Cricetulus griseus: one gene and its partner. The protein of the gene in region 1 purifies or fractionates together with the protein of each later gene. This does not show direct contact. Links are inferred from orthologs where the notes say so. Each region holds a gene or a part of one and is shown in the gene's direction. Other genes may lie near its edges. The genes, in order: Ubr2 and Ube2b.

Evidence for each region.
Region 2: the proteins of Ubr2 (region 1) and Ube2b purify together in Homo sapiens (affinity purification with western blotting; 3 studies listed by BioGRID, with this or other methods). This does not show direct contact. The link is inferred for Cricetulus griseus from reciprocal best matches to the Homo sapiens genes UBR2 and UBE2B.

Annotation. Positions count from the first base shown.
Region 1 is NW_023276806.1:256,332,093-256,339,207, reverse strand, and holds part of Ubr2 (E3 ubiquitin-protein ligase UBR2), read left to right. Parts: intron 1-1,333; coding exon 1,334-1,482; intron 1,483-2,609; coding exon 2,610-2,665; intron 2,666-2,824; coding exon 2,825-2,921; intron 2,922-3,041; coding exon 3,042-3,109; intron 3,110-4,371; coding exon 4,372-4,507; intron 4,508-5,231; coding exon 5,232-5,322; intron 5,323-6,994; coding exon 6,995-7,115. UniProt on the Homo sapiens protein: E3 ubiquitin-protein ligase which is a component of the N-end rule pathway.
Region 2 is NC_048600.1:66,251,172-66,258,804, reverse strand, and holds the end of Ube2b (ubiquitin-conjugating enzyme E2 B), read left to right. Parts: intron 1-2,136; coding exon 2,137-2,225; intron 2,226-3,549; coding exon 3,550-3,678; 3' UTR 3,679-4,815; downstream 4,816-7,633. UniProt on the Homo sapiens protein: E2 ubiquitin-conjugating enzyme that accepts ubiquitin from the ubiquitin-activating enzyme E1 and transfers it to a E3 ubiquitin-protein ligase. In vitro catalyzes 'Lys-11'-, as well as 'Lys-48'- and 'Lys-63'-linked polyubiquitination.

The DNA of each region.
Region 1 (7,115 bases):
CAGATAAGATCATTTGGGGGGGTGGTCAATCAATGGTCCGCTTTTGCATTGTGTGTGTCTTCTAAATAATACTCTGTATATTGTAAGGACTTCCATCCTGTAGCAGTTGGTCTCCTGTAGTGCACAGCTCCTTGTCTTCCTAAGCTTGCTTCTGTGTCTGTTGTGGTTGTTCCTCAGTGGTGCGGTGGTTCTGACCAGGCCTGGCGCTTGCTTTTCCACACTCTCAGACCTGTCAGATATCATCTGTCCTTGAGGCCTTGCTCCAGCACATAGCCCCAGCCTTCTGCACCAGTCAGGACAGGGCACAGCTATCCTTGCAATTGTCCATGGCTGTGTTCCTTTGTTTGTTTGTTTTGTTGGTTTTTAAGACAGGGTCTCACAGTGTAGCCCTGGCTGGTTACATACTCATAGTGGCATCTCACCTTTGGGAGTGGCCATGCACTACCATGTGGGGTTCTGTGTATCTTTGAGGGGGAAAAAAAGATGTCATTCCGACTCCCATTCTTTGCCATATAACTAGTCTGAATTCTTGGCATCTTCCCTTGTCTGGAATGTTCTGATGTCCCTTCGTTTTATGTGACTTCTTTGTCATTGGGCAGTTTTTGCAACACTTCCCATCTGGTGTCTTTCGCTGCTGAGTTTCTATGTGGTGTCTTGAGTTTGTCCCTTGGGGGCTTCTGTTCTTTGATGTGGTCTTCTGTTTGCTTATATTGGCCTTCTTAGACACCCTAGTCTCAACAGGTTTTGGTTTGGCTTCTCCTGCCCACCAGCTCATCTACTCTAGGAACTGAACTCAAAGTGTTGCTCACATACTCTAACTAAGCTATTTCCAAGTCCATGTTTAATTTCTACTCACTAACTTAAGTGAATGTTTATGACACTTTCCTTCTGTCTGGTCCTTGGGTAGCCACTAAACAGTAAGCTGTAGACATTCGGGTCTACAGCTGGGCAGGTCAGAGCTTTCTGAGTCTCACAGCAAGGTCAGTAGTCACCACCAGCTTTTGACCCAGAGACTCCAGATGTCAGTGTGTGGGACAGCTTTTCTCCAAGGTTCTGTCCTGGAAACACCAATGTCTGGCTGTGGGGGAACATCCTGAGGTCAGCCAGAAGTTCCATGGTTCCGACAGTAGGTGGACCTGGTTGCCTGCCTTGGGCCCTGAGTCTTCCCTCTGCTCATGCACAGAACATAACTCCCCTCAGCCAGGCAATGGCACACAGCCATCTCTGGAGATGTTTAATGGTTTGATTGCAGCACAGGACAGAGCGGCTGAGAGATGGAGCCATTTTATCCATGTGTGCAACTTTTGAACTAAACCTGTGCATCTTTACACAGGAACCCATATTCTGATAGTATAAAAGAAATGCTAACAACATTCGGAACAGCTACTTACAAGGTGGGACTGAAGGTTCATCCCAATGAGGAGGACCCCCGTGTGCCCATCATGTGCTGGGGGAGCTGCGCATACACCATCCAGAGCATAGGTAAGACACTCACCGAGGTGGTGATTAGAAATGTGATTAGAGCTGGGTGTGGTGGCACACTCCTTAATCCCAAGGCAGAGGCAGGCAGATTTCTGAGTTTGAAGCCAGCCTGGTTTATTGAGTTCTAGGCCAGCCAGGGCTTCAAACTGAAACCCCTACTGTGAAAAACAAAAACAGGCTGCAGTAGTGCCACTAATCCTAGCACTAAAGAGGCAGGGGCAAATAGATCTCTGTGAGTTCCAGGACAGCCAGGGCTACACAGAGAAACCCTATCTTGAAAAAAAGCAAAACAAGAAAAAAGAATGTTGTTTAGAAGATGCAGCTTTCTAGGGACCAGGCACAGATGTGGTACACAGACAGACAAACATTCATCCTCAGTCTTTTTTTAATGATGTTTAGTGTAAGGAAGTATAAAGGAGAAATAAAAGAAAATAGCAAAGAATTGTATACCAGGAAAATGCTGGTTTGTTTCACAATTTGTAAATAAATACAGCAACAGAAAACAAATTTAGGTGGTGGTTATGGGAACTTCTAGTTGAGGGACCCAGTAGGGTTTTTTTCCTAATTTTATGTGTATGGTTATTTGCCTGCATGTATGTTTGTACTATGTGTGACCCTGGCGCTTGCAGAGGCCAGAATTGGGCATCAGATCCCCTAGAACTAGAGTTACAGATAGTTGTGAGCTACCAAGTGGGTGCTGGGAACCAAACCCAAGTCCTCTGCAAGAACAGCAACTGCAATGGACAGTGGTGACATGCCTTTTATCCCAACACTTGTAAGTCAGTGGCAGGCAGATCTCTGGTCTACAGAGTAAATTCTTTTTCTTTTATCCAAAGTGAGTTCTTGCAAAATGACTTAAAGATGGTAATACCTAGCTGGGCAGAGTGGTACCTTTAATCACAGCTCTCAGAGATAGGCTGATCTCTGAGTTTGAGGACAGCCAGGGCTACACAAAGAAACACTGTCTCAAAAAACAAAAACAAAAAAATGCTAAAACCTGAAAAAATTGCATTCTCTTCAGAAATAATAGAACTTATTAAAAAATGTACAAAGAAAGTTAACTTTTAAGAAAATAACAAAATATACATGGCATTCAATTTACCTTCTTCACCATCTTTAATCTTTAGAAAGAATTTTGAGTGATGAAGAGAAGCCCCTGTTCGGACCTCTGCCTTGTAGACTGGTAAGAGCACTCATTCCTCTCAGTAGTGCCTGTTTTCTTTAAAAATGCAAAAGAACTTGTTTTGGGGGCTAGTGGTACTTGCTTCTTGTTTGTTCCATTGTTTATTTATAGAAGGCCCTGCTCTTTTCTCTGGTAACTGTAAGGACTTCTTTATTTCAGGACGACTGTCTCAGGTCTTTAACACGGTTTGCAGCAGCACATTGGACAGTGGCATCACTTCCTGTGGTGCAAGGACACTTCTGTAAACTCTTTGCGTGTAAGTGTCCCGTGTCTGTGACCATCTGTTCTGACATGGTCTTTGGAAATTTTCTTGATAGGAGTCTGATGGCTCCATTACAGTGAGTGTTTTCTCTAATGTGTCTTCTTCCATCTCTAGCCTTGGTGCCTAATGACAGCTATGAAGACCTCCCGTGTATATTAGACATCGACATGTTTCATTTACTGGTGAGTGTTTACAATTAGCTTTGCATCCTCTTCACCACACTGGACTTGATGAGTCAGTAGCCAGGAAGACCAAGAGGAGGCAGTGTCACCATGGATTTCTACACATCCACATCTAGTTAGGTTCTGAGGAAACTTGGTGTGGATGTCTGGTTGTCCTTCCTCTCTTGTTTGGCTTTGTGGCTGAGATCTGTAATAGAACTGTCTGCTTTTGACCCACTAAGAGGTCAAATAACGATGGCTGCATCAGTGATGCTGACATCTCACAGTCCGTTTAGTTGTTTTGTGAATTGTAGGAAATCTGAACGGATCCAGCCTGCAGTCACAAATACTTGATGGCAGACCTGCCTCTCTCTCCTATTTTGTACTTTTTATTTTTTAAGAAAGATTGTATTTATTTATTATGTATACAACATTCTGCTTCCATGTATATCTGCACACCAGAAGAGGGCACCAGATCTCATAACGGATGGTTGTGAGCCACCATGTGGTTGCTGGGAATTGAACTCAGGACCTCTGGAAGAACAGCCAGTGCTCTTAACCTCTGAGCCATGTCTCCAGCCCCCCCCGCCCCCTGGTTTAAAATAGGGTATATTCGTTGTATGAAATAGTAGCTTTTCCTATGAAATTTGATCATATTCACCACCACTTCCCTCTGTTGTCCCTACTACTTCCTGGGCCCCTCATTTTCCTTTTTCCTTTTTATCTTTTTCTTTCTTTCTTTTTTTTTTTTTTTAAATCTAGATACCACAGATGAAAACATGCTTTATTTGTCTTTCTGGTCCGACATACTTCATTTAGTATGATACCTGGTTCCGTCCCTTTCCTTATTTGTAGCATCACTTCATTCTTAATGACTGAATAATACTGCCTTGTGTGTTTTCTTTTTTTACTTTTACATATATAATATATATTTCTTTGGTGGGTGTATACCACAAGCTCAAACATGGAGGTCATGTTCTCTGATCTCCACACCCTTGGGTGCATACACAAAAAAATAAATGTTAAGAAAATAAAGGGATTTCACATACATCATTACCCCATGGTCTGTTTGTAGGGAATCCACTGGATAAATGAAATGATAGTGACTGACTCTCTAGGCCCCTTCAGCTCCAGTTCATTGAGCCAGTTCTAGTGGGTTTTCAGACATTGCCCTTCTTCCCTTTTAAGTTTAAAGGGAGGGCTAAACTGGGAAAAGATCCCAAAAGAGCACAGATGTGTAGCCATGAAGAGAGGCCTATGCTGATTATCTGTTTTGTGTCTAGGTGGGCCTGGTGCTTGCGTTCCCGGCTCTGCAGTGTCAGGATTTTTCAGGAAGCAGCGTCGGCACTGGAGACCTGCACATTTTTCATCTGGTTACCATGGCACACATTGTACAGATCTTACTTACCTCATGTACAGGTTTGTCAGCTTCTTGAACTTGCGTTTTTCAGTTTAAAACAAACATGTTTGGGAGAGAGCAGTATATAAATCACAGTCAGGTTACTTGCTCTTTCTGTTTGCCTTCCTGTAAAAACTTTTAGGTTTCTTTCTCTTGTGAAACTCCCCTGTAGTATGAATGTTTTGCTTTTTTCAGTTTAGTTCATTAATCTGTGAATGGCATAAATTAAGCCCCACTGAATGTTGTTTCAGAATGCCAGTTTTGTTTTAACTCACATGTTTCGTTAGTATCCCAGCAAGTTCATTCTTAAGCTATGTTTCCATTCAAGCATCCTGTTACTCAAACATTGCAAGACAGTGTGTTAGTTCTTAGTCCCCACTGGATGGTGGCTGCCTGACAGTGTGTTAGTTCATAGTCCCCACTGGATGGTGGCTGCATGATGGTGTGTTAGCTATAGTCCCCACTGGATAGTGGCTGCACGACAGTGTTAATTATAGTCCCCACTGGATGGTGCCTGCAAGACAGTATATCGGTTAATACTGTCCACAGTGTGATGGTTGGCTCAGTGGTCAGATGGAGAACAGTACTGTGTGCACACTTGGAAATTTAAATCCTAGTTACTTATAAGAGTATTTCCTGTTGTATATGAGTGTGTGAATATGTTTGGGTGCTTGGCTCGTGTACTTACAAGCCTTTTGAGCCACACAAAGGAATGGAGACCCCTACTATGTCTCTGTCTTTCAGAAGAGAATGGCATGGATCAAGAAAATCCCACTGGGGAAGAAGAATTAGCTGTTCTGTCTTTGCACAAAACACTTCACCAGTGTACTGGAAGGTGAGACCCCAGTCTTCCATGGGAGGTACTTCCCACGTGCCCGTGGGAGAAATTGCTGTATATTGCTGTGTTAAAAATCTAGGAGTGACTGCTCATATCCTTGACACAACTGAGTCTCAGAGAGGGATAGTCATGTCTGGAGCCTCACGTTTACTTGGTGGTAAGCCCTACAGTTGCTCAGTCAGATGCCAACTAGTAGGCGGTTGCACTCTGAAGATGCTCTCCTAAAATATGAGTTATCTTCTCAGCAATTTCAAAATGTAAATTGGAAGCCAGGTGGTAGGTGGCGCATGCCTTTAATCCCAGCACTCGGGAGGCAGAGGCAGAGGCAGGCGGATCTCTGTGAGTTTTAGGCCAGCCTGGTCTACAGTGCTACACAGAGAAACCCTGTCTCGGAAAAAAAAAAATCAAATGCAAATCGGATTAGCATAGTGTGTTTGCAAGATGATCCGGGAGAGACTGAAACACAGTGAGATTACTTGAACAGCACATACTGGTGTCACTGTGCCTTGAAATAGCAGTCTCACTTAGATCCTAGTAATGTGTATTGGGGCCTTGGGAATGTTTGTGCTGGGCTGGAGAGATGGTGCCAGCAGGAAAGTGCTGGATGCGTGAATTCGATGGGCTGGGTAAAAAGCCCTGTGGGTGGTGGAGACAGGAGGGTCACTGGGACTTGCTGGCCTCCAGCACAACTTCAGCATCAGGAAAAGACCCTGCTTTAAAGGAGTAAGTGGAGAGTGGTGGAGAGCAGGCACCCAGTGTCCTCTTCTGGCCTCTGAGTACACACACACACACACACACACACACACACACACTTAAATACACCATCTGTGTATATACACACATTATAGAAAAGGTCTTTGAATTATCCCATTTGAAAGCCCACTTGAATGAAGTAATATAACGTACAGAAGAACTTACAGGGATTTACAGATACACCCTGGTGTTATTTATGCCAGCAAGGAGCTGAAAGTGATCCAGATGTTTGTGTAGGGGCATAGTTTGATGTCACTTGTGATCAGTGTGTTCAAAAATACAATGGCTGGATTAAAAATTACAGTATGTAATATTTTCTAAATAGCATGGTAGTTAAACTGCATATAGTTGCAGCTGTGTAAGACAAATTAGTGTGGAAGCAATATACTAGAATAATACCTGGTGGTGTAAGATTCTGTAATAACTGCTAGGATTTGTTTTCTGTTTTGCTTTTGTTTGTTTGTTTGTTTGTTTGTTTGTTGGGGGGGTTGGAGGGTTTTTTGTTTTTTAGTTTTTGCTTTTGTGTGGATGTGTGGTTTTTCCAGACAGGGAAACAGTCCTGGCTATCCTGGCATCTGCTTTGTAGACCAGGCTGGCCTCAAACTCACTGAAATCCTCCTGCCTCTGCCTCCTGAGTGCTGGGATTAAAGGCATGCACCACCACACCTGGTTTGGGTTTTCATTTTATAATTTTTCTGTATAGGTGGCTGTATTACTTTTGTAAATATTAATAATATTAGAGGCCCTGTCACTATTTGTTTGACATCCCATAATAGTTATGGCAATCATTAACTGGCCTTTGACCCACTGCTCCTAACCATAAGTAATGTCATCAGTTCCGAATGTCAGTCTTTTTCCACACCGTGCTTTATTGCCGTGATCTTTTCTTAATGTTTTTCCTGTTTTCTCTCCTCAGTGCCTTGGAAGAAGCACCCTCCGGCTGGCACCTTTGGAGGAACGTCCGTGCCGGCATCACACCTTTCCTCAAGTGCTCAGCTTTGTTTTTCCATTACCTAAATGGAGTTCCAGCCCCACCA
Region 2 (7,633 bases), on another chromosome or scaffold:
TAAAGGTACCTTGCCATTAATTCTGATAGCCTGGGTTCAATCCCCGGGACTCCAATGATGGAACCAATTCCTATAGGTAGTCTTCTGACCTCTACACATGTTACTTGAGCACCCAAGTACATGTGTGCTTGCTCAAATAAATAAAAAGCTAAATGATGGGATCATATAGCCAGGCTGGCCTTCATTTTGGTATATATTCAAGGATGACTTTGAACACAGGATCTCCTGGTTTCATCTCTTTGTGCTTATGTACAGATGCCACCACACCCAGTTTATGTGACACTAGGGATCAAACTCCAAGTTTACCCAGTGGGCAAACCCTCTACAGACTGGGCTACATCCTCAATCCTGGGTTGTTTGATTGATAGATACATACAAACATACAAACATAGGGGTATACAATGTGTATACCATTCTACTTGTTCATTTTATTTCTTTCTTTGTATTTATTATTTATTTACTTGGGTTTCTAAGGCAGGGTTTCTCTGTGTAGCCCTGGCTGTCCTGGAACTTGCTTTGTAGATCAGGCTGGTCTTGAACTCAGAATCCACCCGCCTCTGCCTCCCAAGTGCTGGAATTAAAGGCATGAAACACCACATTCAGCCTATTTGTCCATTTTAATTACACAATTCAGTGGAGTTTTGGTGTAGTCAGACACAGTTAAACCATCAAAATGGCCAGTTTCCATTTCTCTTGGGAGGTAACAGTCTAATGTTTTATTATTTAGATATCTTCTGTTTTCCTTTTGATCAATTGATGGCCATTTGGATTCAACTTTCCTTTTGCATTTCAAAACTAGTTCAAAACTTGAATATTTTCAATTGCTTTTTTATTTTCTGGCTTGGGATGTGACATTTGATCCTCGGACAGATGAGAAGTGGCTGACTTCTACTATTCAATTAGTAATACTGAGCACACAGAGAACAAGGTGAGGCCAGGAGGATGGATATGATTGCACAGAGATCAATAATGGGAATAGAAAGAAAAGAAACCCTAGGATGGAGCCCTGAGCAAAGGCTCAAACGCCCACTCTTTAACCCTGTTGCCATGGAGGATATCGTGGTTCTGGGTTTTTCAGTTTGGCAATATTGCCAGAAGTAATGGAGCATGTTTATAAGCCCAACACTTACTTAGAGGTAGAGAGAGGCAGGAGGATCAGAAGCTCATTGCTGTTCTGTGCTCCATAGCATACCTGGGCTACATGAGACTACTAAACAAATGAAGTTCTGTGCATTGGCAATGTCTGTAACATTGGTCTAAGAGGGTACAAAGTATGTCCCAGGTAGTCAAAAGTTTCAGTGCATGTTAACTTCTGCCTTTTTCTTCTACTTGTGTGTGACCAGAGGTTGGGGCATGGAGTATATTACAAGGATGGATTAAAGGTCAGCTGTCAAGTCTTACTGTTAATATTTTGACATAATTTTGCAAATATTTGTTATTTACTTAAAGTGAAAGTACTTACGTGCTTTTTAAAAAAACGAAAATATGGAGCCAGGCAGTGGTGGCGTACACCTTTAATCCCAGCATTTGGGAGGCAGAGGCAGGCAAATCTCTGTGAGTTCGAGACCAGCTTGATATACATAGTTCTAGGACAGCCAGAGCTGCATAGTAAGAACCTGCTACAAACAAAAATCCCTTATTTTCATGAGAAACACAATAGATGGCGTTTATGATGACTACATTAGTAGTGTACCTTGAATGTGTCATCATTTTTTTAAGAGTTGTGTTTGAGACTTAAGAAGAGTGGTGTAGGGGGTGAGGGGGAGGATGGGAGTAAGGGGAGGGAAGGGGAGAAGGGACTTACATGTGAAACAAGCTTGTTCCCTAACTTGAACTAATTAAAAAAAAAAAGAGTGGTGTAGTTTTGTGTTGTGCGAAACAGGCACTCTACCACAGAGCTACAACCTTGAACCCAAAATGGAGTAATTAATATATGTTGTGCTTTGAAAAGTCTCTCCCTGGGACTTCTGAAGTGAGACCAACATGACTTTTCAGAACAAGTTTTCCAGTGAGATGGCAGGGTTTAGTTTACTACCTGACATTCAGAACTGTTACTTGGTCAGGTATTGTGTGCTGACATACTCTCTTAACTAGGTTGTGAGGCAGTGGTAACTAACTTCAGTGTTGTCTTTGCAGTGTATGCTGATGGTAGCATATGTTTAGATATCCTGCAGAATCGATGGAGTCCCACATATGATGTCTCTTCCATCTTAACTTCAATTCAGGTACGTGTGTGTTCAGAAGCATCACAACTTCTCCGCATTCTGTGGGACATGACCAGTCACTTAGAGGAGCAGTCTTAACAACCAAGGAAACAAACTGCCAGCCAGTGCCCTGGAACTAACGCAGCACACAGACAGGAACCCTGGGCTGTTCTGTTAGTTGACATCTAAGGTCTAATCCACAAACTTGTTTCCTCTGGTGGTGGTGTCTATTGTTGCCTAGTCTGTCCCATGGATGACTTTTAACCTCTGATTCTCCTGCCTCTCTTCCGATGCTATAGATACAGTCCTATGTGCCACCATGCCTAGTCACAACCTGTTAGTCATGTGCTACACATTCTCACAGGTCAGACTTACTCATGTCCTCGTAGTATCTTGAGAAGTTAAGATTGCTTAGGGACCTCTAGGAACTGCCCGGTCAAAGAACTGTGACCTCTTTTTTTCACTGAGGAAAGTCTGTAAAGAGGGACAGTAACAGTTTGCCAGTGAGTCTGGAGAGGCTGTTGTGGCTGTGCTGATTTGGGGGGAGCAAAATTTATGTCCGTCTTTGTGAGTCTTTTACTGTTAGTTCGGTTCATCTCTAGATAGAGAATGTCATGATGTTTCATGCTGTGTCGTTGACCCTGTGCATACCTGCTTCCCCATTACCTGTCTGTCCTGCTCACCCTCTGTCTGTCCCATCCCTGTGTGTGGTGTCGCCCCCCCCCCCATAGTCCATTGCTGTTCCCATGTTCCATGTGTTTAAAGGGATATTCCACATAGAATATACCTACATAGAAGAGCAACTGTTGCCCTTAGGTTGCTCATTACTCTTTGCTCATCCCTTCCCGCTCTGGCCAACTTTACTATTTCATTCCCTCCCTGCTGAACATGGATGTTTTATTTATCAAAGGAGCAAGGCTCACCCAACATTATTGCTGTTGGGGGGGGGGGCGGTTTACCTAGCATGCCGGAGACCTGAGCACACCAAAAACATGATAGTAGCAGTAAAAGGTCAATAAAAATAAGCTACTAAGGTATTTACCGGTGTTAGAGCCTAACCAAATTAAGCTATTTGTTTCCTGGTGAGGAAGTTCTTATATTCAAATGAATATTGTTCTTGGCTGATTTCCTTGAAATGGGAGGTCTCAAGGCAACTGGGAATTGTTTTAGAAATTTATGTTCTTTAGCAGCAGAAACCTGTTTCGTGCCACTTCTGAAGGTTTTGAGACCTAAAAGATGACATGGAAACTTCCAAATAATTCTGTCATTTTGAGTAATTTTTTTGTCCTCATCTGAGCCCTATTAATAGACATATAACTGAAAAGCATTTTCTTCTCTCTTTTAGTCTCTGTTGGATGAACCAAATCCAAACAGTCCAGCAAATAGCCAAGCAGCACAGCTTTATCAGGAAAACAAACGGGAGTATGAGAAGAGAGTTTCGGCCATTGTTGAGCAAAGCTGGAATGATTCATAATAGACACCTGGTCTGTTCATCTTTTCATCGTTGTTGTGTATAATTTACCTCCCAGTAGAAAGGCTAGCAAGTTTTAAGTGCCACGGGTTTTAAGGATTCTGCAGAGAAAAAAGAAAAAGTCCTTCAGTTTAGAACCTACAAAAGCTTGTGTATCTTGATTAATGTACTTTTTATTGCATGGTGTGAACTAAGTTATTGCTGCATAAATTTGTAATATATCCTGTTTGTATTTTTTTCCAAGTGTATAATGTTGGTGTGGAGTTTTCATGACAGAATATACACATTTTGTAAATCTGTACTTTTTTCAAATATTGAATGCCTTATTTTTGAATTCTTTAGATTTTTAAATTGGAGAAAAGCACTTAAAGTTTTTTATATATGAATATTACATGTAAAGCTGTTAAAATACATAACTTCAGTGCAAGAGACTTTGTCACTTATTTCCTTATCTGTGCAGGAGGGACTGAGAAGTCTCTAGCTCTCCACCAGTTGAGAGCTTCATTTCCAACTGCAGAAGATCATACTTCTATTTTATCAAGAAAGTCTGCAAATTTGAGTCTAAAACCAATTCTGATCTCCGGCTTTATTTTGAATGTACTTATGTTAGTTCAGTTGAGTAATTATAGACTTACTGGTCTGATTCTGTCCAGCTCTGTATTTGGGCCACTTGTTAACGTGCATTTCTCATGTTAAACTGTACCTATTGTGACTTCACAATTGGCACCTCGGCCACAAGCAGAGCTGATTGACTCTGTTGTGTGGCAGCACCTTCACGGGCTTTTGATTAAGAAGAAAGTAAAACCATCACCATTTACCAAACGCCGTGCCGCAGTATTAGCAATGGCCGGTTGTGTTGGTTTGAGCATGGCAGAGATTTGGAAGGAATCTTGGTGTAACTTGAATATTTGCAAACTACCTTTTAATGCAGCTGCACGCTACCTGTTTATTCTGAAACTGTTGAGCACCAGGGCCTGCCGAGTTGCTTCTCACCTCCTCAGTTGTATACAAGTTGTACTGCATCTTAGTTTACTGGATAGATTTAAAACACAGTATTGTAGAAAGCTAATACAAAGCTATCCTATGCCTTCAAATAGTATAGAAAATGGAAAATATACAAGTAAATTCTGTTGAACCACTTGTGTAGTCTCTCTAGTAGTTGAAACAGCTATTGCAGTGAGCCTGAGTTTCTTGTCATCCATACCAGCCTTCTAGAGATGGGCTCTGGTAGTCCCTTTGTTGGAAAATTGGGTTGCGGAATGACTATGTCTTCTGTTACGAGCAAAGTTTAAAACTGGGATGGATAAGCGCTGGTACCCTTAGAAGTATTACTCCGATGAACTGGAGAGATGGTTCAGTGGTTAATAGTGTGTACTATTTCTACAAGAACCCAAGCTCGTTTTTCTGCATCCACAGCTCACAGGCCCCTGTAACTCCAGCTCCAGGGGGATCCAAAGCTTCTGGCCTCCTCAGACACTAGCACTCACATACACAGACACATAGTTTAAAAAAAAAAAAAATCAAGCTTTTTAAGTAGAACATGGTGGCACATAATCCTCAGGAGCCTGTGGAGGATCATGGGTTTGAGCCTGGTCTATGTAGTGAGTTCCAGGCCAATCAGGGCTACATAGTGAGACCCACAAGTGATGCCTCTATCATTTAGCTCTAAAACATTCTTTCTCTAATGACCCAGACAGTAAATAAGCAATACCTGTGAGGGACTCTCCTATTTAGCTAAACACTGTCTTTGATAACTGTGTCAGCACTGAATTTATTCTTTTTTGGTTTTGGTTTTTTGAGACAGGGTATCTCTGTGTAGCTTTGGAGCTTGTCCTGGAACTTGCTCTGTAGATCAGGCTGGCCTTGAGCTCACAGAGATCCACCTGCCGAGTGCTGGGATCAAAGGCGTATGCCACCATGGCCCAGCTGATAAGTTTTTACCATACAAAATGTTCATTTTTATTCTCTAGATACATTTGTACAGCAAGAAGCTAGAACTGATACTGAGGTAAATTTGCATTAGGGTTTAGATGCACTTGTGATGCAGTTCCTCAGTAATGGCTAGCAGAAAGCAGCCCACTGGTACTTTTCCCAGCAGTGGGTTTTTGGGGTTGGTTGGTTGGTTGGTTGGTTGGTTGGTTGGTTGGTTGGTTGGTTGGTTGGTTGGTTTTTTGAGACAGGGTTTCTCTGTAGCTTTGGAGCCTGTCCTGGCACTCGCTCTGTAGACCAGGCTGGCCTCAAACTCAGAGATTCACCTGTGTCTGCCTCCCAAGTGCTGGTGTGTGCCACCACTGCCCAGCTCACTTCAAGTTTCATTACAAATTAGGGAACTAAGTACACAGAGATGAGGTGTCTCAGGTCAACCAGCTGGACATGAGCTGGCTTTGGAGTAGTCTGACTCTTGGTGAATAATATTCAGGGGAATTTCACTTTTGGAGTAATACTGACAGTTACACAGAGACTATCCATTGGGAAGGTTTTCTTATCATTTTCCATCTTGACACACATAACCCTCATCAAGAAGTCTGGATATAGAAAATTCTTTAGTCTCTATATAAAGGACCAATTTCTCAGTAAACCGTTTTCGCCTTCCAGGAAATACCCTTGAGTCTAGAACTCCATGGGCCTAGCCCCCTTCACAACAAAATGGTTCCATTAATGTAAATAACTTTGAGAACCTGACTGAGAGATGACTCAGCATGTGAAGGTTCAGGACCCCATGGAAGCAGAGAACTGATTCCCATAACTTATGGTCCTCTGACCTCTCACCACAGCTTAGCACATGTGCTCTCATATATGTAAACACAAAATCAATGTAATTTAAGGTCTGAAGACTGATCTAAAATTCATAGGTGGACAGTAATGAAAGCTAAGAGTGATGCTCTGATTACTAATGGTCTGTTTTGTTATTTTCTGGTAGAACTGAGGATTGAACCAAGGTCCTTGTGAGTGCCAGGTAAGCACTATACTGATGAGCATATACCTAGTTCCTATTGCCTAGTCATGGGAATAACACTGGAGGCTGGAGAGATAGCACAGTGTTAATTATGACCACACACTGCTCTTGGCAAGGACTTGAGTTCAGTTCCCAGCACCCACATCAGGTAGCTCACCTCTAACTCCAGGGGACCTGAAGCTTCTGACCCATGGGTGGGCACCAGCACTCACAGATAAAAGATTTAAAAGCACACAGGTAAAATACATGTGGTATGTTTCATGTATATAGCTCACTATTTGGGAGGCCAAGGCAAGAGCTACACAGAGACCCTTCCTCTATAAAGAAACATTTGGGCCCAAATTTTGAGGTACTAGGAGTCAAAAGCCCCAGGCATGCTTGGTAAGTGTTCTGTCAGCGAGCTGTACTACCTAGCCCTGGGGTGCTTTGACGTCTTTCAATTTTCCTAATTTGGGGAGTAGACCGTGTGGTTCACAGTCCTTTCTGTTGTGTCCAGCCATGGGATGTGTCATGGGCTTAATGTGTAAATAGAAATCCAGTAGCCGGAGCTGTAGAGGTTGTGCAGAATTGTCAGGAAAGAGACTTGTGCCAGGATTATGCTTAGTTCCCATCTAGAGAGAAAATGAGCTACTATCCAATAATTTTCTGTCCCAGTGTGTGACAGAGCAAAGATGCCAGAAGTCATGTGATTGAAAGGATTACCCTCTATCCTTTGAGGGAAGAAGAGATAATTGAACGCATGTGTCATTTTTAGTAAATTCACATCGCTACTATAGCTTTGAAGAAAAAAACCTTAGTGAAGTTTTAATGTTTCTTCTGCTCATAGGATGGCTGGGGAATTGCTTTTAGTTGGGTCAAAAAGATGCATGGCCTGTATCCTTTACAAATGTGTGTGTCAGCAGTCCACACACAACTCAACACTAGCTCTAAGCATCCTCCTGGGTGCATAGAAGTTCAGGCCTGGATGAGGAACTTGTCCGTTTATTACGTAACTAACTCTCT